Linked DNA regions of Oryzias latipes. The protein of the gene in region 1 purifies or fractionates together with the protein of each later gene. This does not show direct contact. Links are inferred from orthologs where the notes say so. Each region holds a gene or a part of one and is shown on either strand. Other genes may lie near its edges.

Evidence for each region.
Region 2: the proteins of wdr77 (region 1) and clns1a purify together in Homo sapiens (affinity purification with mass spectrometry; 6 studies listed by BioGRID and IntAct, with this or other methods). This does not show direct contact. The link is inferred for Oryzias latipes from reciprocal best matches to the Homo sapiens genes WDR77 and CLNS1A.
Region 3: the proteins of wdr77 (region 1) and gar1 purify together in Homo sapiens (affinity purification with mass spectrometry; 3 studies listed by BioGRID and IntAct, with this or other methods). This does not show direct contact. The link is inferred for Oryzias latipes from reciprocal best matches to the Homo sapiens genes WDR77 and GAR1.
Region 4: the proteins of wdr77 (region 1) and ctdp1 fractionate together in Homo sapiens (co-fractionation; 3 studies listed by BioGRID and IntAct, with this or other methods). This does not show direct contact. The link is inferred for Oryzias latipes from reciprocal best matches to the Homo sapiens genes WDR77 and CTDP1.

What each region holds. Positions count from the first base shown.
Region 1 is NC_019863.2:2,525,751-2,530,841, forward strand, and holds the start of wdr77 (methylosome protein 50), read right to left. Parts: upstream 3,414-5,091; 5' UTR 3,106-3,413; coding exon 2,997-3,105; intron 2,819-2,996; coding exon 2,633-2,818; intron 1,752-2,632; coding exon 1,613-1,751; intron 549-1,612; coding exon 499-548; intron 354-498; coding exon 283-353; intron 1-282. UniProt on the Homo sapiens protein: Non-catalytic component of the methylosome complex, composed of PRMT5, WDR77 and CLNS1A, which modifies specific arginines to dimethylarginines in several spliceosomal Sm proteins and histones.
Region 2 is NC_019871.2:4,487,677-4,492,591, reverse strand, and holds the start of clns1a (methylosome subunit pICln), read right to left. Parts: upstream 3,433-4,915; 5' UTR 3,165-3,432; coding exon 3,046-3,164; intron 2,220-3,045; coding exon 2,083-2,219; intron 1,933-2,082; coding exon 1,804-1,932; intron 1,658-1,803; coding exon 1,547-1,657; intron 1-1,546. Other genes in the region: solute carrier family 35 member F2, read right to left, coding at 4,452-4,751. UniProt on the Homo sapiens protein: Involved in both the assembly of spliceosomal snRNPs and the methylation of Sm proteins.
Region 3 is NC_019868.2:3,863,122-3,867,922, forward strand, and holds the start of gar1 (H/ACA ribonucleoprotein complex subunit 1), read right to left. Parts: upstream 3,433-4,801; 5' UTR 3,345-3,432; intron 3,226-3,344; exon of another isoform or gene 3,209-3,225; intron 1-3,208. UniProt on the Homo sapiens protein: Required for ribosome biogenesis and telomere maintenance. Part of the H/ACA small nucleolar ribonucleoprotein (H/ACA snoRNP) complex, which catalyzes pseudouridylation of rRNA.
Region 4 is NC_019869.2:25,067,312-25,072,362, reverse strand, and holds the start of ctdp1 (RNA polymerase II subunit A C-terminal domain phosphatase), read right to left. Parts: upstream 3,433-5,051; 5' UTR 3,266-3,432; coding exon 2,982-3,265; intron 1,957-2,981; coding exon 1,873-1,956; intron 1,068-1,872; coding exon 974-1,067; intron 765-973; coding exon 636-764; intron 1-635. Other genes in the region: adck5 (uncharacterized aarF domain-containing protein kinase 5), read left to right, coding at 4,525-4,548. UniProt on the Homo sapiens protein: Processively dephosphorylates 'Ser-2' and 'Ser-5' of the heptad repeats YSPTSPS in the C-terminal domain of the largest RNA polymerase II subunit. This promotes the activity of RNA polymerase II.

The sequences.
Region 1 (5,091 bases):
TCCCATCAACCTTTTAACAGGATATTAGGTCACTATTTTTGACACAGTAAAATGTATTCATCCTATTAATTTGTGAAGTCCTGGTGACAGAAACGATCAAACTCTTCACCGTCACAGAAAGAGAAAAACATGCGGCTGCTGACTGACAGCCTGCAGAAAACAAATCTGAAAAACCACAGAAGCCAGAAGAATCTAAGCAACTCGTCAAGCCCCGTGGGAGGAAAGAAAAGGATCCCCAGGAGCCCGAATGACCACATGCTGACAGAAGACATCATTTCATACTTGGCCACAGGAGACGAAGAGGGACGGATCTGTTGGGCTGCAGGTCACACAGCTGACGGGCCGAGTGTGAACTGGACGGAGAGAGAGAAAGTGTTTGTCCTTCTGCAAACACCACCGTTGATACACTTCTAACACACAACTCGACTTAAAAATCATCATTTACACTCCTGGTCAAAAGCATAAACAGGAGTGCTTTGCCACTGAAGGCTCTCTTACTGTTGTAGGTGGTCACAGCTGCTTCCTGACTGAGATCCCACACTTTAATCCTGCATTGAAGAGAATTCATTTATTTTAGGAAAAATATCCGAGTCACAACATTTCCACGCTCCTAAATCTTCCAGTCGGCTGTCAGTGAAATGATTGTGATGTCATGACACCCGGATGATGGCGGATGTATGTATCAGAGGATGTTCGGTTGGCCGTTCTGCATGTCAGTCAAATGCTGAGGAGGATTATTTGCAGACAGATTTTTTAAAACATATTTTTATCTAATGTTTTTTTTGATGGCCCACGATTTACCCACAAGTCTGATGAGTTAGAGGATGAATCTCTGCTGTTTCAACACGACTGCACTTCAGAAAGCAAAGTTCATACGGACAAGAACACCAGACTGGTGAAGAAGCACTAGCCTAGATTTGTTTTAATTCAAGCTTCTATTTTACAATTTGTAATGTTTCAATATTGTGTTGGTGTGTATTCAGACTGGAAAAATCATTTGGTATGGATCGAGGCCTGAACCTTGCATCTGGTCTGTATTCAGGCTCCCGTCAAGCGCCTCTTCACCCACAGGCCAGGAATTACGAGGGCGGGGCAAAGCAACTAGAGACAGAAACTACGGAAGTCCTCCAGTTTGCAATCCTTGTCGGGATGGTTCACTTAATAAAACTTTATATTTCGCTCATTCGTTTTTGGCGCCTGTATTAACATCAGGAACAATTCTTTTTACTGCTCCTTTGGTACGGCGGAGGCATCCTGCAAGACGCTTACTGGCAAGAAGATGGTACGAAGGTACGACGATGAGGGTCCACTTGGGGGGATTCAGACTGAAAATTTGGTCCGGATTATTGAGAGAAACAAACTCTGGTTCACTTGAAACGGACCAAAAGTGTCCAGTCTGAACACATCCTAATGTTCTTTTGAGCTTAAAACTTTTCAAATGATCTTTTTTTATTTATTTACAATCTGGTTTTTCATTCACTAAGCTGATCCTGATATGAACCCATAGTGGAAGTAGTTGTAGCAGTAAGGGGTGAACTGACATCACATCAAACCCTCAGAGTTCTGAGTGGATACTAACGTTTCAGCGGTCTAACAGACACGGCAGTCTGACCTGCAGTCCATGCTGCCGGTGACGGCGCCGGTTGCTCCAGTGGGGCTCACGGTCGTCACGATGTGGTCGTGCTCGTGTTTGGTGAAGCGACTAACCAGCAGCCGCTCATCTTCTGCCAAATCCCAGAGCTCTAGAGCACCTGAGGACAAGAAGCAGTTCTGTCCAAACACAATCCTGCCAACCAACAGAACACTGCATCCCTGTCTACTGATGTCAATCTGTCCCAACACACTTAGAAGTACATTTTTCTTACACACGGATGACAGCCTAATATTTAATTCAGTGACAGACCTGATTCCATTAAACAAAGATGCAGGACGGAGGCTGCTAAGGGACAAACAGGCGTAGATGCAATCACTGAACTGTTATTCTGATTCACTAAAAATGTTGGAGGAAAAAAAACAAATGGAAAATACAAATGAAGCCAAAAGAAAGAAAGGAGAAGAAATACTATGACATCTAAATGTTAATAAATAATAATATTATTGGGGAGAATTCTGGCTAAGTTAATAAAGTTCTATAATCCGATATAAAATATGCAATTATTACTGGAAAAATCTGAGAACTTAGAAAATCCGTCCCTTGGCCATAATCCTGCGGCCCGACTGGCTCCATGGGATGTTTGTTCCACAGTTCAAATCAAATTAAACTTTATTTATAAAGCACCTGTCATACATCAGTAAAACAAAGTGCGTTCAATTTAAAAATAAAAACGTTTCACTTAAAACATCCCTCTGAGGAAAACATGAATTTTGCAACAAAATGTTAAAGAAATAAAATATATAAGGTAAAATCAGGGATTAATACGAAGATAAATAAAACTTATTAGATGAGAATAAAGTAAAAATGAGTTAAAAAAGACAGATAAAAATGTGGAAAAAGGATAAATACTTAAAATAATGTAAAACAGCAAATGAATATGTTCTTACATTTGAAGGAAAAGCCAGTTTAAGTTATAGCAGAATGTTTGTAAAGTATTGAACATTGAGTTTTTAGTTGTCAGGATCATTTGAGACGCACCTGAATCTGAAGCAGCAACAATGGCCTTCTCAGTGACCCATTTGACATCAGTGATCCCTGCCTCCGTCTGCACGCCAGCCCTGCAGAAGCCCTCACTGGGGGCCTGCTCAGGCTCCCTGTAGATCCACACAGACCCCTGCCAGGTCCTGCCCGAGAGGCTGGAGGCGCCCAGGAGCAGCGTGCCGTCTGCAGAGGACACAGCACGAACGTGGGAAGCAGCGTTTCTAAAGGTTACACACCAGTTTACAGCCGAACTAAAGAACTGAGCTGAATATATCAGGACACCAACAAACCCCCAGTCCCATAAATGAAAAGCACGTGGTTTATGCCTGTGACCCACGGTTAGCGCCTTCTCTCTTCCTACCTGCTCGGTACTGAGCCGCGCACAGATGCTTCTCCATGCACGCCGGAGCGTTTGGGGGAATATTCCACCGATTTTCCTTGATCATATTTGTGTCGACTGCACTGTTCATCCAAAAAGCAAACTTTAGTCTAGTTTCCCACTAATTCAGATGTGGTTGTCCGCAAATCAGCTACACAACCGTTAACGCTAGCTAAGCTAGCTGCGGCCAAAGAAAAGCTCGTATTTTCTGTTTAGGCAAAATAGAAATATACACCTAAAACGCATACGAGCTTAAAATAACATTTCTAGCGAAAACAATGGATACGTTTTCGCGTCCCGAATGAATGACAACGAAATAATAATGCATTAAACACGTGGGACCGGTGGGGAAAAGGTCCCTTAGGCGTTTGGAGGACTTCTTCGTTGGTGTTTATTGTTCTTTTCCTCTTGTGCGTTTCCCGTCTGCACTGCCCCCTGCGGGCAGAGAAGGTGAACTACAAGGCTTCATTTCAATCAATATGAGAGCTTTCTGTATTAGTGGGTGTGTTTGGTCTGGCACAGGCGCGGGTTGGTGGTGGGCAATGATGATTTATTGTGAGTGTGAAATGTGACGGGATCTAACCAGGTTTTAAAATGTTTTGTTTAAAATAAATTATCCACGTTTAAAAAAAATGTGTTGCTTGGTTTTATCTGAGTACTTGTTCCAGCAGATGTAGTTGAATAAGTCAATTTGATTAACAACTAGCCTCAGACAGATCAATCTGGTTGAATCGTAGGAAAGCAAATCGATTAAGTCGATTAATTGTGCCACCCCTGTGACTCGAACAGCTTACAGTGACTGAGTTTCCTGTACTTTGGGATGTTAACATGATCTGGAAGCAAAAATTGAGGTGTCTTTCTAACTGAGAAATAAGTATGAAATTCATTTACTGCCCATCCATTCAGAACAAAGAGGTTGGGACAGCAATGACATGGTGGAAAATTCAACACAAAGTCCAGCCATCCATCCATCCATCTTCAGAACCGGCTGAATCCATTTTGCAGTCGTGAGGTTGCTGGAGCCTATCCTGCTACTGTTGGGAAAAGGTGAGGTACACCCTGAACAGGTCACCAGTCTGTTGCAGGGTCCCACAGGCATGCACACAGACACCTAAAGGACTATTAAGTCATAAAACAATTCCATGAAGCGTGTTCGTGTAAAACGCATAAATAAAAGGACCCAGCTGGGGTCTGAAATGGATAATTTTAGGAATTGTCAGTAAACAAATGTACAAAGCTTTCATTTATACATTCCCAAAAATCCCCAAAGAAATTACATAAGGATGCAGAAAATTTAAAAACGATCTGGATTATATGGTATAGAAGTTATACATTTGTAAAGCATGACAGGTCAATTGTATTGAGGGCTGTAAGCTGTAGCTTTGTGCTATGTACACCAAGAAAACACAAAGTTTTTTAATTGTGTTCATTAGGACACAGTGAGCCCGCATACACATATGTGCTAGAGCGTAGCATCTCTGTGATTATTGTTTGATAAATTTTAAGTTTTTACATATGAGAAGGAGCACGAGAATCACTTGTGGCTCACAAGGATCAATTTCTGCTGTTTTGCACAAATATTTGTTTTTTTCTTTATGTGATGGTCAACATAAAAAATTGTAAGTATATATTTTAAACTATTCTTATTTATTCATTCTGTTCAGTTTTTATGTCTTGCAGATTTACCTTCATTTATTATAGCCTATTTAATAAAAAACAAGTTTTTTGTACGTTTGTAAATAGTGCTGGTAAGATTTAGGCATAACCTAGTGGGATTCCTAACGTTATTTCTATTTTAAAATTTCTATTGAAATTTTATCTTATAGTTTTTATAAAGAAAACAAACAACTATGACTATTGTTATCCCCTAAACGTGTTTTATTATTTTAGAAAATCGATGATCCCCCAAAGATGCACAGTTTGCATGAGCAATGGTGTTCTGCTGAAGCTAAAAACAAACCAGAAATGTTGAATTTGATGTTTGATGGAACAGCTTTTGAGTGTGATTTCCATGTAATAAAGATGCGAAGCCGCAGAAGCCGAGGTTTCATCCTCCAGACTTTATTGTGAAAGAGCA
Region 2 (4,915 bases), on another chromosome or scaffold:
ACAAGAGAAAAAAGAGTGAAAACGTTCGTGTTTGTCTGAGAAATGGGTAGAAAGTGTGTAGTGAGGAGTTTTACAGCCTTACGACATCTAGAATAAATAGAAAAAAAATAAAAAATGATATCTATTTTGCAGATTTCGCCTACGGCGTGTGATTTCTGAACTCAAGTCTCGCCATAGATGGGGGGGGGGGGGGGGGGGGGGGGCTATCCTTCCGTGGTGAAATGAGGGGTACGACTGTTAACACCTCTTTAAAGTCCCACTCCAATCATTTGATCTATTTTCAAAGCTCTTTTATGGTTTTAAGCCAAAATCCCCAAACTTGTTGTTTTCTGGGACATAGTGTCTGCAGAGCGGCAGGAGTTCATTCAAATTCAGCTGCAAGGACCAAAAAAAAAAAAAGAATTTCACCTCTCAACTGTTGGCAGGGAGTAAGCCCACCTCTCTTCCCATCATTCCTTTGTTTACACGGTGTCCTGCTAGCTTCCAGCCCCTCACACCCCCCAACCTAAAATCACCGGTCCAAATAAACGGCGAGCATGATATCGGAGCTGTCCAGCCGTAGAGTTTAGATCCAGATTCCAGCTCAGACGAGGAAAACGAAGACGTCTATGGATCTATTTTTCTAAGTAGATGCAGCAGAAAGGAGCAGGGGGGTTGCAGAGTGCAGTTATGAGCTTTTTTTTAAATGAAAAATGAAATTTAAAGCCTTATTTTCTTAATATTTGTCCTCCAGCATGAGGAAAAAATGCTACATGAACATGTTAAAAACACCGTTTTCATCTGAATGGGTCTTTAGAAAGATTTACTTTCGGGACAATCTGGATTTTTTCCGTCCAGCATCCTGCTCTGTTGTGTTAGCCCGCCCGTCTCTCGCACGGTAAAATGCCAGCAAGCAAAAAGAAGAGGGGCTCGTTCCCAAAAAACATGGAAGGGGTTTGGATTTTCAACTTCAGACTTGAAGCAACAATTTGCAGAATGCGTTAGCAGCTCCCTAAAGCACAAACTGGTTTCAGCAGCTGAGCCAGAGTCAAACGGTGCTGCTTTCTGTGAGACGATCAAGCAGCAGCAGCTCAAAAACACAACGTTTCAGAAGCCTTACAGTCTGTATTCAGTTGCAACTTGAATTGAGGTCCACTCCCAAAGGAAATGTCAAAATAAAAGCATTTCTGCTAGCTATATTCTGTCATTTGTCTTTTTTTTTTTTAAAGAAAGTAAAGAGAGGGGAAAGAAAAAAAATCAATGTAAATCTGAAATCATATTTAGTGTGAAAAAAACAGCAGAGATTTAATTTCCAGGCCATTACAGCCACAGTATGAACTATAAAGAATTAGGGTTAATATTTGAGTTTCTTTTAGTCATCTTCAGCGTTTCACTGACCATCAGTTTCAGCATCAATCAATCACCTGAAAGTTAATATTGATCCAAAAAAATCTGATTATTTTATATATGTGAGAAAATCCTTGCATTTCTGCAAAAATGATGGGAATAAAATAAGAAAAACATTTTAAATAAAGTTTCCCCGGCTGTGTGCGTCTGTTGTCCTTACCAGCTTCCTCCACATTGTACTCCTCTCCTTCGAAGTCGTTGTCTGAGTCTTCGTCGTCGGGGTCTGGATGTAACGCCTGGCACTCGCACATGGCTGAGAACATGGACTCCACTGCGTGGAAACAGACGCAAACATTTCTAATCTTCTACTTTTTATGGCAGACGGGCGGGATCAGGGGGGGGGGGCCGATCCGTGACGGCTACGCGATCTTGATCGGTTAGCCGTCACGGATCGGGTGGCCGTTACCGCTCACTCACATGAAGCTTTGTCTCTGGGAACAAATCGAATTTCTGTGATCACTTCCTCTTCGTCACCGTTGCTGCTGTCACTACCATCATCATCTTCTTCTTCTGCTGCTTTCTCTGTCATCTCAGCTTCACCCTCACCTACAAGAAAACGAACGGATGAAATTGTTGAATGAATGAAGAAAAACCAAAGCAGAAAACCCAGATCTGCTTTCAGGAGATTTGATTTGATTTGAAATGGTTTATTTCAAGCAATCAAATAAGCTTAGAGATGACTGAAGGTTTTCTTACCGCCTAGTTTTCCGTTGACCATGACGTAGAGATGCTCCTCGGGGTAGGCGCTGACATCCCTGGAGATGGCGTGCAGACTGATGGAGGGGTATTCCAGGGAGAAGCCCATCCCTGAGCCGTCGAACCACGACAGGCGCCTGAGACGGACAAAGACACAGATCAGAGGAGGCCGATTCCAACATTAAAAACCAGAAAAAGAGAATCAAGTCTGACGTCGAGTTAGCTGAAAGTGTTGCAGCGCCACGTAACCATAAAGATCTTTATTATAGGCTGCATTTTGACTCACTGACTCCTTTCTATTGAATTATTTATCCATTAACCTGAGAAATAAAATATATTCATTTAAAAATGCACTACCAAACAATAATGAATGATCAGAGGAGTTATGTTGAACCTCAAAGTACATCTTATTAAGATTTCCTGAGCAAATAATCAAGTTAAATTTAATTTCACTAAAAAAAGAAATAACAATAATCACAGGAATTAACTACAGGGACAAATCTAATCTATTATTTTTTATTCAAAGTTATTAAAATGAAAAGATTTAGTTAAACATAGTATTTACACTTCATGTATAGAGTCCATCCAGTGTTAACCTTTAAAATACAAAATTAATATGAAAAAACGGAAAGTTACTCTTTAAAGGTCTTGTGATCAGTTGAGACTAAAGTTAAAGACAAACAAATCAATGGGGATAAATCAATAAACCTATTTTAATTCAATACTTTGACAGCAGAAAATGAACCACGGAACTGTCACGTAAACATGACTTCGATTTAACGTTTTATTTTGAAAAGCAGGGCAATACCGGAAGCTCTTCCTGGGGTCTGAACTAGTGCTAACAAGCTGCAGTTTATCATCGAACATATTATGATGGATACATTTCGGGGTGAATGAAATGTGCATAAAGATTTGCCTCCAACGTGTAACGACCAAAACACGCGCGCCACGTGGATCACTTACGTTTCGGCGACGTACAACGTGCCACAGCCGAGCTGCTGCCCGCTCAGCACCGCAGTGGTGTTGGCTTCCTCGTGGCGCACTCCCTCGGTAGGAGGACGGAGGTTTCTCACCAGAACCATCGTCCGTTAGACCGTTAACGTGGGCCCGAACAGAACAGAACTGCTTTGGAACCCAAAAGGAAGAGCCGTGACCCACTTCCGGTAACAGAGCGGCTTAGTTTAACCGCAGTAAGCCTCGTTTCAGGACAAAACTCGAGTCACGACAAGGGAATTCTGGGGGGGGAAATTACAACAGAAAACGTAAAATCCGAAACAGCCAGACAGCGAGCGCTTGTTGATACTGAAATATCGCGGTTTCTTCCTTACGTCAACGAATCACGTGACCAGCGTGCCTCCTCAAGCCATCTGTGGCATATTTTTTACACTGCCCTCTAGTGGCTGTTTAGCTGATTACACCCATTCCGAACTTTTTTATTTTTAATTTTTTTAAACAGTGACGCCCCCCCCCCAAAAAGAAATATTTTCTTATTTAAAAAACACAAGCACAACCTTTTGACTATATAAATATATATACGTATATATACACAGTCAGGACCATAAATATTTGGACAGAGAGATATTATTTCTAATTTTGTTTCTGTACATTACCACGGTGAATTTTAAATAAAACAACTCAGATGTCATTGAAGTGCAGACTTTCAGCTTTTATTCCATGGGTTGAATAAAAAGATTGCATCAAAATGTGAAAAACTATCCTCTGTCACTAATCATTCAAAGAAGTCACGTTTTTTCTGAGAGAAAACCTTTTGTGGCCTTCGGTTCACCTAAAGAGCCAAATCCCAGTTTAAAGCCTGGGATTCCTTAGATTTCTAAGGTACCCTTTTTTTTAGCATTTCAAAAGATGATGATGAGATAAACAGGGTGGGGGGTCTCACACACTTACCAATTTATCAACTCAGATTTAAAAAAAAAAACTCAAATTTTGTAAATTATCTTTAATGTATTCTTTCTAATTGGTTTACTTTACACAGTCTAAACATTTCTAAGACTCTACAAGTCACATCAGCAACTTTTTAGCAAATAAAACTCAACAGACATCATGTGACTCAGTGTGACACGGCTGACAAATGAGATTTGAAAATGTTCCAGGTGTTCATATTTGAGCACAATGAAGGGTCATCGGTGAGTTTGACCCACAGAGACAGAGAGGAATCATGACCGGTTCTCACCTGTCAGAAGCTATCTGAAAGACGGACGATGATGTTCACACATGAAGAGGAATATTTATTGGTCAAAATCAAGAACATTTCATGCCTCTGACAAAAAGAAGAATAAAACAGATCAGCCTCAAAAAGCTAAGAAAAACTCCATAATTCTTGAATTTTTCATGGACACTCGTGCTGCTCTTCACATTTTAGTGCTGCTTCTGACTCCAACGGCATCTTCACGATCGTGTTCTTCTGCAGCCCTCCTCTTCCTCTTTTGTTCCCCCCTCAGTTCCACCTCAGCTGGGATCCGAACAGACACTTCTTTGGAGACGTCCTCCTGAGTGACGGGATTGTCGAAGCAAGCGTCCTCGCCAATGGAGGAAGAGGAGGAGGAGGAAGAGGTGGTGGGCTCTGCAGACCTAGTAACAGTTGGGACGGCATTGAAGGTGATGAAGCCGATCAGGATGACCACCAGGGAGACCAGGTAGAGTCCGGAGAACTGCGGAGGGACAGAAGGTTATAATAGAACGTATGAATGATTGACACAGAGAAGACCATAAAGTAAAAGATGTGCAAAGTTTTGTTCAGAGTCAAAACCATTTTTAAACCCTAAAAACAAAGAAAAACTTCCCTTTATACGATTTTTATGTTGTGTAATTTTTT
Region 3 (4,801 bases), on another chromosome or scaffold:
CTAACAACATAAGCTTTGGGTGGCGCTGCATCCTGTGAATAACATCAGCCTTTATTTAGTCGGGACACGACTGGAAACACAAATCCACGTGATTGTTTGAATGTTTTCTAAGGACTGAGCGACATTTCTGCTTTGATGCTTAAACCTCTGTGTGTGCTGACGATCCGAGCTGTGCTCAGACACACGTTGGTCGACCCGGTTCTGAGTTCGGTAGGTAGTACCCCTAGAGCTGCGGGACGGATCGCAGTCTTAAATCTCCCACACATACCGCTCATGTACCCCCCCCCCCCCCCCTTCCCATCAAACACAAAGCTGTAAATCCGCACTCCGCCGGTCCACTTCGCTAAATGCGGGAGTGGACTACTTCTTTTCCATCTTGCTTGTTACTTTTTCTGTTAAAGTCACTTCCCTCAGTTTATACTGGATCATCGCGGATGAGTCATTAGTTGGGAAATAAAATGAAAAAAGCAAAATAACGAATAGCAGTTATATAAGAACGAAAAATGTAAAAAATCCCCCCCCCGACGATGTCATCGTCCATCCCGATGGTTGACAGCAAACATCGTCAACGGCCAAATTAGGGGACATCGCCCAACCCTATGTCTGACTGAGCACAGCTCGGATCGTCAGCACACACAGCGGTTTGAGCTTCAAAGCAGAAATGTCGCTCAGTCCTTAGAAAACATTCAAACAATCACGCGGATTTGTGTTTCCAGTCGTGTCCCGACTAAATAAAGGCTGATGTTATTCTTACATGTTTACGTGCAGCCAGCAAGCAGCACCACCCAAAGCTAATGTTGTTAGCCCGTGTTAGCATACTGCTAATCCTGGCTTCGTTCAGAAAAAGCACTGACCACACGGATTAAAATTCAAATGATGAGCGAACAGGTGTTTCATAATAACCGTAACATTATTAAAGGCACGTTTAGAAGATTGGCTCGTAAATTACTGAGCTGACATGTCAATGTATAAAGCCGCTCGGCGCTGTTTAACATTGTTTTGTATTGAATTGTTACATTCAATAAAGTTTGGAAAAAAAAGCCGCTCGGCGGAAGTTGTATCCCCTTCCGGTTTTCAAACTGCGCATGTGCGAATGATTTATTCCGACCGAAAGTGTGACCTTAGTGAACGTTTTTATATTCTGAAAACATTTTTCTGGGCCCATCTACACGGTTGGATTCTAATCCGACCATTGATCCCATCAAGATATTTTGTACATGTAACCGCGGCTTATGGTGTCGACGCGCAACGTGGCGGGGGCGTGGCATCACGATGGTGGTCTCTCCATCGGGATGTCAGTCACCCATCACGATGGACGATGATATCGTCCATCGGCACAACCCTACCCCTAAGTGAGTTACAGCTGCTCATTTCTCTGTAGAAGTCTATGGAAATTTGGCTTCTTGGAGACAGCGGGAACTTCCTGTTTGGAACTCTACGGGAGAGGAGTCACTCAGTCCAGTTCTCATATACAGTCAACTGTCTAAACAGAGGGAATTGTAAGGAACTGGGTTGAAAAATATGAAGGGTGTCAGTTGGTCTGGACTGAGTCTGCTTAGTTTGGTCCAGATTGAGTCCTGAGCGTTGCATTGGGTCTGTAGTCAGACTGCCTTCAACCGGACATTTCTGTTTCCAACCAACCAAAGCTTGTAAAAAAAAAAACGTGTGACTAAAGATCTCTTCAGTCATTGGCCAGGAATTACGAGGGCAGTCAAAGACTAGTGCACTTTGCAATCCCATTGGTCCAGTGGAGGCTGGCTGTAGGGCGGCTAACGGCAAGAGTCACTGATAAGACTTTATGACATGCAGATGGTCGGGAAAACAGTGAGAAGCAACGTGCGTCACATTAAAAGTTGTTTTAATGAGCCTGCATTTATCCAATCACATTTCAATGAGTTGCTGTGTCTCATCGTCATGGTTACTTCCTTTTCCGTTTACATCCCATACGGAGCGGCTACGGTGGCCATTTTTGGTTCCGTTGTTCCACTCTGGGAACAGACTGTATTCAGACTGAAGAACCTTAGAGTACACCAAAGCTCAGTCCGATTGGAAACGAACTGAGAGACCACCTCCACAGATGGAACCAAGCGGTTCCTGGTCCCGCACCAGGGCCCACTTGGGTTTATTCAGACTGAAAATTTGTTCCAGATTGTCGGGGGAAACGAACTTCTGGTTCACTTTAAGAGAACCAACTGTGTGGAGTCTGAATCCACCCATAGACTGATACTATGGGGTAAGGAATGTGTCAAAAAGAAACGCATTTATGAAGACAAAGTTGTGCGGCTGGTTAGAATCTGGACCAATCAGCAGGCTGTTTGTTGGCACATATGTCACGCTAAACTGAGACTTATGAACGTTAAATCAAAGATAGGGAAACAGCGAAATGAGACGTGTTAAAACGCAAAATTTTTTTTTGAAAGCAGAAAAAAATTTAAGAACTATTTAAGCAACTATTTAATACCTTCACTTGCTACTTAAAAAGTTTTGTTTGCAATGTGTTGGCATAAATATCACTTCATTCTCAAAAAATACGGCAGGACATCGCCATTATAATCTGTTTTTTTTAAACAAAACTATGATAAAGATAATTTCCCTTCTAGAAGATCAATAACATTTCAGAAAGTTTAATTCTGTTTTTAGTTTAATAAACGAGGCTCAACGCGCATGCTCACTCAGTTGAATTGAATATCGGGACTCTGTGTATATGCCAATGACCACATGGCGTATATTTGATACTTTTTTAAAGAAAAAAACAACAACACAATGAACAAAGAAAACACCAAAAGCTGAACTGACAAACGCACCAAAACCATGAGCTCCCATGATGCACCTCGCCCGCTGATTGCTATGGCAGTGGGCGGAAACCGAGTCGTTACAGTAAGAATGCAAACAAATGTTTTACTCCTTACAGTCTTACAAAATAGAGCACACAGATAGCCGCCCGCCGCTTTACAACCGCGGAGTGATCCCGTCAACGAATCCAGTCTTCAGCCGCGTGCGACCGTCCCGTCCCGTGTCCGCTGTGCAAATAGTGCGAGTGTTTAGCTGGCAAACACAGCGACACGACAGGTTGCAGTAACCAGAAACACGCGTGGAACCGTGTCCGGAACTTTAACGCGCCCTGAGGCTCCCCCGGTGCCTCACGCGCTAAAAAAACCGGCTTCGGTGAAAGGATCAGCGAGAGCACGTGCTTCCCGGAGCAGCTCACCGTAAACACGACCGTTTAGGCGCGAAACCACCGCTTTCCAGTGGGTTCTTTACACACCCCGCTCATCTGCTGATAAATAATATGACACGTGGAAAACTATTACCCAAGAAAATAAGATGTAAAGGCAAGAACTTACCTGTTATCGCAGAGGAAATGTCCACGTGACAACACGCGCAAGCGCAGGCTGCCGTAAAGGTTGTCTCTGATGTCGCACAGGAGGTTGCCAGATCAGATCATTTCCCGACAAAACTACGCAGTAAAATCAGTAAAGGCAAACACAACCCGGACTAAACTTCCCCCCACATAAAAAAGCTAAACTAAGACTTTTTAATGGTAATTTACAAAATCAAGATAGATTTATTTTATAAAAATATATAAATCAATAAACTATTAGTTGTCGTCTCCTTTTGAGTGATTTGTTGTTTTTATCAGTCTCTTTTTAATCTTTTGCATTTTCTGTGTGTATTTTCTACACAATTGTTCGTGCGGTTCCTAGTAACTTGAGCTGTATTCATAACTTTTTTTGTGGTATTTGCATCATTTGTTATTTAAAAACACTTAAAAAATTATATTAACAAGAAACTTAGCAAATGCAATAGGAAACCTCTGCTGCTGAGTTACACTACGATTTTCCTCTGACTGCACAACCATGACCAGAAATCCAACTTGCATCTGGATCAGACTTCAGCATGTCATTTTCAGGTGTTTGACTGCTTTAAGGTCTGTCACTGCTTCTTTTCATTTGTGAAGTAGGACTAAACTCAGTTTAATCTTTAAAGTAGAATAATATTGGTTATATTGTGTGGGCTATGTGTGAAAACAAAGATTTCAAACTTGTATATCAGTAATTTTTTTCACAATAAGCCTCACAATAGCTAAAGACTGAAATCAACCCCATGTTCCTTTTGACCTTTAGTTGACTGTAAATGTAAATCAGCACAATAATTTGTGGTTATTTTTTTTTACCTTATTCCATAATTTTACACCTCCAGTTCAATATGTTCAATTTTTTTTTGTTTTAGGTGTTAATTGTTTCTGTAATATTGATAGTTATTTGGATGAATACTTTTTTATGTGTGAATAATATTTTAAAGTAATTCTAAAGTAATTTACTACAGCTCTTTCTAGTGACATCTGGTTAACCAACAAAACTCTTTAAGCATAATTTCTAGAAAAACATTTTTTTAAATTTAAAACAAAACATCAGTTTTGAGAAAAACAGCCTGAATTTGTTCATTTTGCCAACTGCAGATGTGTCCAGCCCAAAGAGTTCCAAAGAAGCGGAAACATGACCGATCTGGCAACCCTTGTCTTCTTTGTGTCATAAGCCGACCTGCCCCGTCCTTAAAGAGACAGACCACTCTGACTTCATCAAAAGTTTCGCCAGACAGACGCTGCTCCAATAGTGGAGATGTTTAAGTGTTTGTTGGCTTTTTAAAATTCTGCTGCGCGGGTAACTATGGCAACAGCTGGTCAGGGAGGAATGCTTTTGTTTTCCGAGAGTGTGTGTGTGAGAGAGAGAGAGGAAAGAGTGTGTGATTGTGTTTGTAACCAGTCGTTGATAGTCACATGCACAAACAGCTGAAGCAGGTG
Region 4 (5,051 bases), on another chromosome or scaffold:
CGTCAGGTTTTTAGTCTGACGTTTGTTTACATCTGAGGAAGACCAGGAAAGGCCCTCAGTGATGAAGCTCTCGTCCTCTGAAAGCATCAACCTTCTCCTCAAATGTGACAGATTTATGTTTATTCCCCTGAACAGACATGACATAACATGTCATGTCTGCAAAAGATGTGATTTGTGACATAACAGACTCCTGCAGCAGGTGAAGGTAGAAACACCAACAGGGCCCTGATGGGAACAGGCCCTTCCCTGATGGGAACAGGCCCTTCCCTGATGGGAACAGGCCCTTCCCCTGCAAGGCCTGCTGGGAAACAGGGATGCATTTCTTGGATTATTCTTCACCTTTTAAACATGTTTGGGTTCTATCCAAAGCGACTTACAGATCGAGGCAATGTGGGTTCCTGCCCAAGAGCGTTTGAACCCCCAACCAGCAGCATGAAGTGGTGTAGCTCTGGCAGACTGATTCCCTCAGAAACCCCACATTAGAATCTGACCGGTGACTTTGCAGGCAGAAATCAGAGAAACCCTTCTCCTCCAGAACAAAGCCATTAATTCTGACAGTACCGAGCTTTTTAGAACCCACTTTGTTCCAGGACCTAAAGCCAGGTTTGCCTCCTGGGCTTCGCCTTGAGCTGTACCTTGTTGGACATCTGCTGGCAGTGCTGCTCTGTGGTGTGGATGAGCGTCTGGTCCAGATCCACCATGAGGACCAGCTTCCTGTTCCGGTGCAGCCTCTGCTGGTCCTCTCTGCCCAGCTGCTCGGCTTGCTGCCAAACAAAGGAGAACCCCGCCGGTGAAGCCGAGTATGACAGGCTTATGGGTACATTTTCTCCACCGTTTTCAAACATTCATTTGTAGAAGAACCAGCGTGTGGTCCACTGCAGGAACACTTCTTTAACCTCAGACTGAGAGCTTCGTCTTGGATATGAACTCAGCTTGAAGTGTGGACGCACAGACAGCTGCCATCGTGACTCACCTCAGAGCTGACCATCAGTTCAGGGACACTGTGCACCATGGAGACGGTTGCCGTGGAGATGGGGGTGTGCTGGTTTCCGTTTGTCCCCTGAAGCCTGAGACGAGAGAGAGAGAGAGACCACGCTCAGGTCCTCCAGCAAACTGTCAGAGGAGGTCTGCTATTTGTTTCAGATCCACCACCAAACACACAATCCCAACACTTACACCCCAGCACGGATGGATGCTGACGGAGAAAACAGGAAGTCAGCGTCAACAAATCCACATTTACTCACAGATGTGTACATTTAAGGAGCTAACGAGTGCATTTTTATTGAACTTCACTGTCACTGATGTGGTTTTAACAGCTATGGAAAAAACACAAGATGTCCAGGTAATGTGAATGTCTGCTCATTTAAAACGGTACTCTGGATAATGTAGTTCAAAATCCTTTTACACTCAAAAACTGATTATTTTATCATGTTTTGGTGCAGACGGATAACATGGACTACAAAGACCAATGTAACCTGGTCCAACTCGATACAAACAGAACTTTACCACTGAGAGATTAAAGCGATGCAGAGAAGTGACAGCAGTAGATAAAAAAACCTCAAATTTCAGAAATGAGACACATTTAACAACAAAAGAAAGTGAACATAAATACATTCATCCCAGTAAAATAAAATAAAAACTTAAGAAGGGGCATTGCTAAAAGATTAATTGAAAACTATGTGGACAAAAACAAATAATATGCTGAATCATCATTAGGTGTGAAAGGAAAAAAATAGGCGTTTCAAACAGAAATCCTGGTGTCTGGCGCCCCCTGATGGCGTCATCTGGAATAGCACTCTACACAAACTAAACCTGACAGCTTTTATAAATTAGGCATTATTTACAAAAAAACAGAAGACAGTGTATTCTTACTGAGTCAAATCCTGGCCACATTCGGCGCATAAACCCTTCATGACAACAGGGTGGCTGCATTCTTCGATTCTGACAATGACACCCCTGAAAACAAACAAACACACAAACATAGATTAGTGGAAACATTCAGTGAAATTCACTGGTCATGTTCAGGTGGAACCCATGACTCTGAAAGAGATACAGGGGGTTCTGCAGAAAGATGGAGCGATGGATGGATAGATATTCAGCTGGAACACAATATTCAATACATCTGCAGTGCATAGATTTTAAATACATTATTGGTGTGGACAGTGTTTCTAGTTCAGACTGCTTTTTAAAACAAGTTTCAGATGAGTGTTCCCCACTAAACCACAGAGGTTTAGAATGAGATAAAGATGAGGAAAAGGGAAAAATAAGGTGAAAGCCACGGAAAGGGACGTTTTTTTTGTCCACAGGTGGAGTTTAAAAGAGGCACCTGAAGGCTTTATGAGTCTGAACCCTTTCAGTCCAGATTTATGTCAAGTCAGATGTTTGAATTTTTAAGGGAATTTTTCCCTAAAAAAAGTTTATTTCTGTTTAAAAAAAGAAGTAAAAAAAAAGGTTTTTACTTTCTATAATAATAATAAATATATTTAAAAATAACTCGTGCACATTTGTAGAATAAAGAAATTAATGAGATAAAAATAGGTAAGCAGGACAATATAAGGCTTCTGAAAAATAGAGGGAAAGTGTCCATTTGCGTCATGCGCTTGTCAATGAGATGACATTTCAAAATAAGAGACATTGTTTGTTTGAATGTATATTTATTAAAATCGAGATAGTCTATAAAAGGTTGAGTGTGGCTTCTATTCTATTTTATTCTTGTTTGTTGTCTCTCACTGGAATACATGGTAAAATCGAGCAGAAAATGTGATGCTGAGAGGACTTTGCTTTTAATTTGAAAGTCTGTTGAAGTTCAGTTTGTTTACGTTGAGTCGCTGTTAACATGCTGCTAACATGCTAGCGTGGGGTTAGCATGTTAGCCTGAACCAGAGAAAATTAATAAAGAAGAGACGAACCATGATAAGGGCCCGCGTGCCATTAGAATACCACGCGGGTCCCCCTGACCCGAACGTTTCCAGCAGACTCACCCCGGAGGAATGATGTGTCCGGTCTGGCAGCAGAGCTCCTTCACCACTCCTGCACGGTTCGACTTCACCTTCTTCTCTGATGGCCGGACGCCCTCCGCCGCCTCCTCCCGGGGCACGACCGCGCACAGCGCTATCACGGAGTCCACGTTCACCAGTGTCCCGGGCTTCACTTTCCACTCCAGCAGCCGCAAAGGAAGCGCTTCGGTCGGCCAGCACATATCCGCCACCTGCGCCGCGGGGCCCTCCGCTGATGCGCCGCCAGAACCCACGGGAGGGTCCTCCATCTGCCCCCCCACTCCAAACCGGTAATTCGCACGCAGAGGTCCGGTCACAGCAGCTCCACCGATGTGCCGCGGATCAACGATACGCAGAGGGGAAAAGCCTCCAGAGGTTTTCACCCAAACCCTGGACCCTTCAAGGTTCGCTCTTCCCGCCCGTGAAAGCGCAACACTGACACGGACAGCTACGGCATCCGGTGCGCAGCAGCGAACCAAAACACACTACCTTTCAAAATAAAGGTACCGTGCTAAATAACATAGCCAGATTGATTTTTTTAAGCACTTTAAAACAATTTTAGTGTAAACACGACTCACGACTTATGTGTGTGTCTAATGTTTAAAGTGTGATGATGTGCTCAGTACAAACATGTCAGACACGTTACAGTGTGAATCAAATATATCCAGCTTTTATTTTGAAAACAACACGTTAATCTTGTTCCTTTTAAAACTTCAATCTAAAAAAAAGTTTTAAAAATATTGATAGTACTAACCTATTGAAATATGTACTCAATAAATACAAATAAAAATAATAAAAAGGGAAGAGAAATGTAGACATTTTTCTGCATGAAACTTTGCCGGTTCTTTGTCGGTGACACTTGACGTGTGATGAAGGCTGTTGTTCAAGGATAACACACAAGAAGAAGCAGAATGCTGTGGGGGCGTTTTAATGGTTACTTGTGCCTGTTTGGGGGGGTGGGGTTATGGGCATTTTGGTCACAGATTAAGGTCACTTCATTGCAGTTTACTAATGTGGGAAACATGTTTGTCAAAGTATTAAGCAGGCAAATATTAAAGAAATCCGAATCGATCAGCAGGCCGAGGGCATGACCTTTGACACTTACCCGTGTCTGTTTAGAACAGAGAGTTCCGCTGAGATTAGATGTTACCTCGCGTCATTAGAGGCGCATTAATGTTCCGGAGAAAACATCCTTTCAAAATGACATGCCCCCCAACATGCAGCACACAAAGGGCAGTACGTTTCAACTATTAAATAAAATTCAAAGAATATGCATTTTATACGGGTTGTTAAAGTCGATGTGTGAATGTATTAAGTAAAACTTTTATAAAACCTTTTTTTTTTTTTTTAGCTAGACCGGAAGTGGGTAAGTAGAGATCATCTCGCATTTCTACACTCTTTGGTCAATCGTGGCGACTATGCTAGGAGCATCCGGAGGAGGAGGAGGCGCAGACTCCGGACTTTTTCAGGCAAGAACGAGGATCCTGGAGTTCCCTCGCCGCTCGGAGCAGTTATAACTTGAAGAGCAATGACGGCGGAGGCCTCGGCAGTGGTAAATACCAACACGTTATGCATAGAATGTGGGGTTTCATGAATTTCACCAGCAGCTAGCTGTTATTAGCAGTCATGCTAGCCGGTGATGATTCTGTGTCAGACTGTAAATATCTGTCAGCGTTCCCGCCTTTCTTCTCACACTCTTGTCCAAGTTCAACCGCTGACAGGAGCGTTAGTTCGCCTCCTAACCAGCTGTCTTCGTTTGAAGACAGGAGATCATGTTCTCCTCCTCCCATGATGATGTGAAGAACACAGAGAGGACATCTTCACATGTGTCAGCCTCAGGTCATTGACATCTCTCTATCTCCTAAATCAATGTGTCAGGAGCAGAGACATTCTGTCCCTCAGATGCAGACAAAAACAACAAGGCCTGGCCTTGGTGGGAGATGGACCCCCCCATCCCTGCTCTGCTGTGCTTTGACTCAAAACAGACTGAAGCTGGGAGCAGAGATCATCTCTGTCAGGAGTCTGGCTGCACAGATGACGCCTTGCTTCACAGAT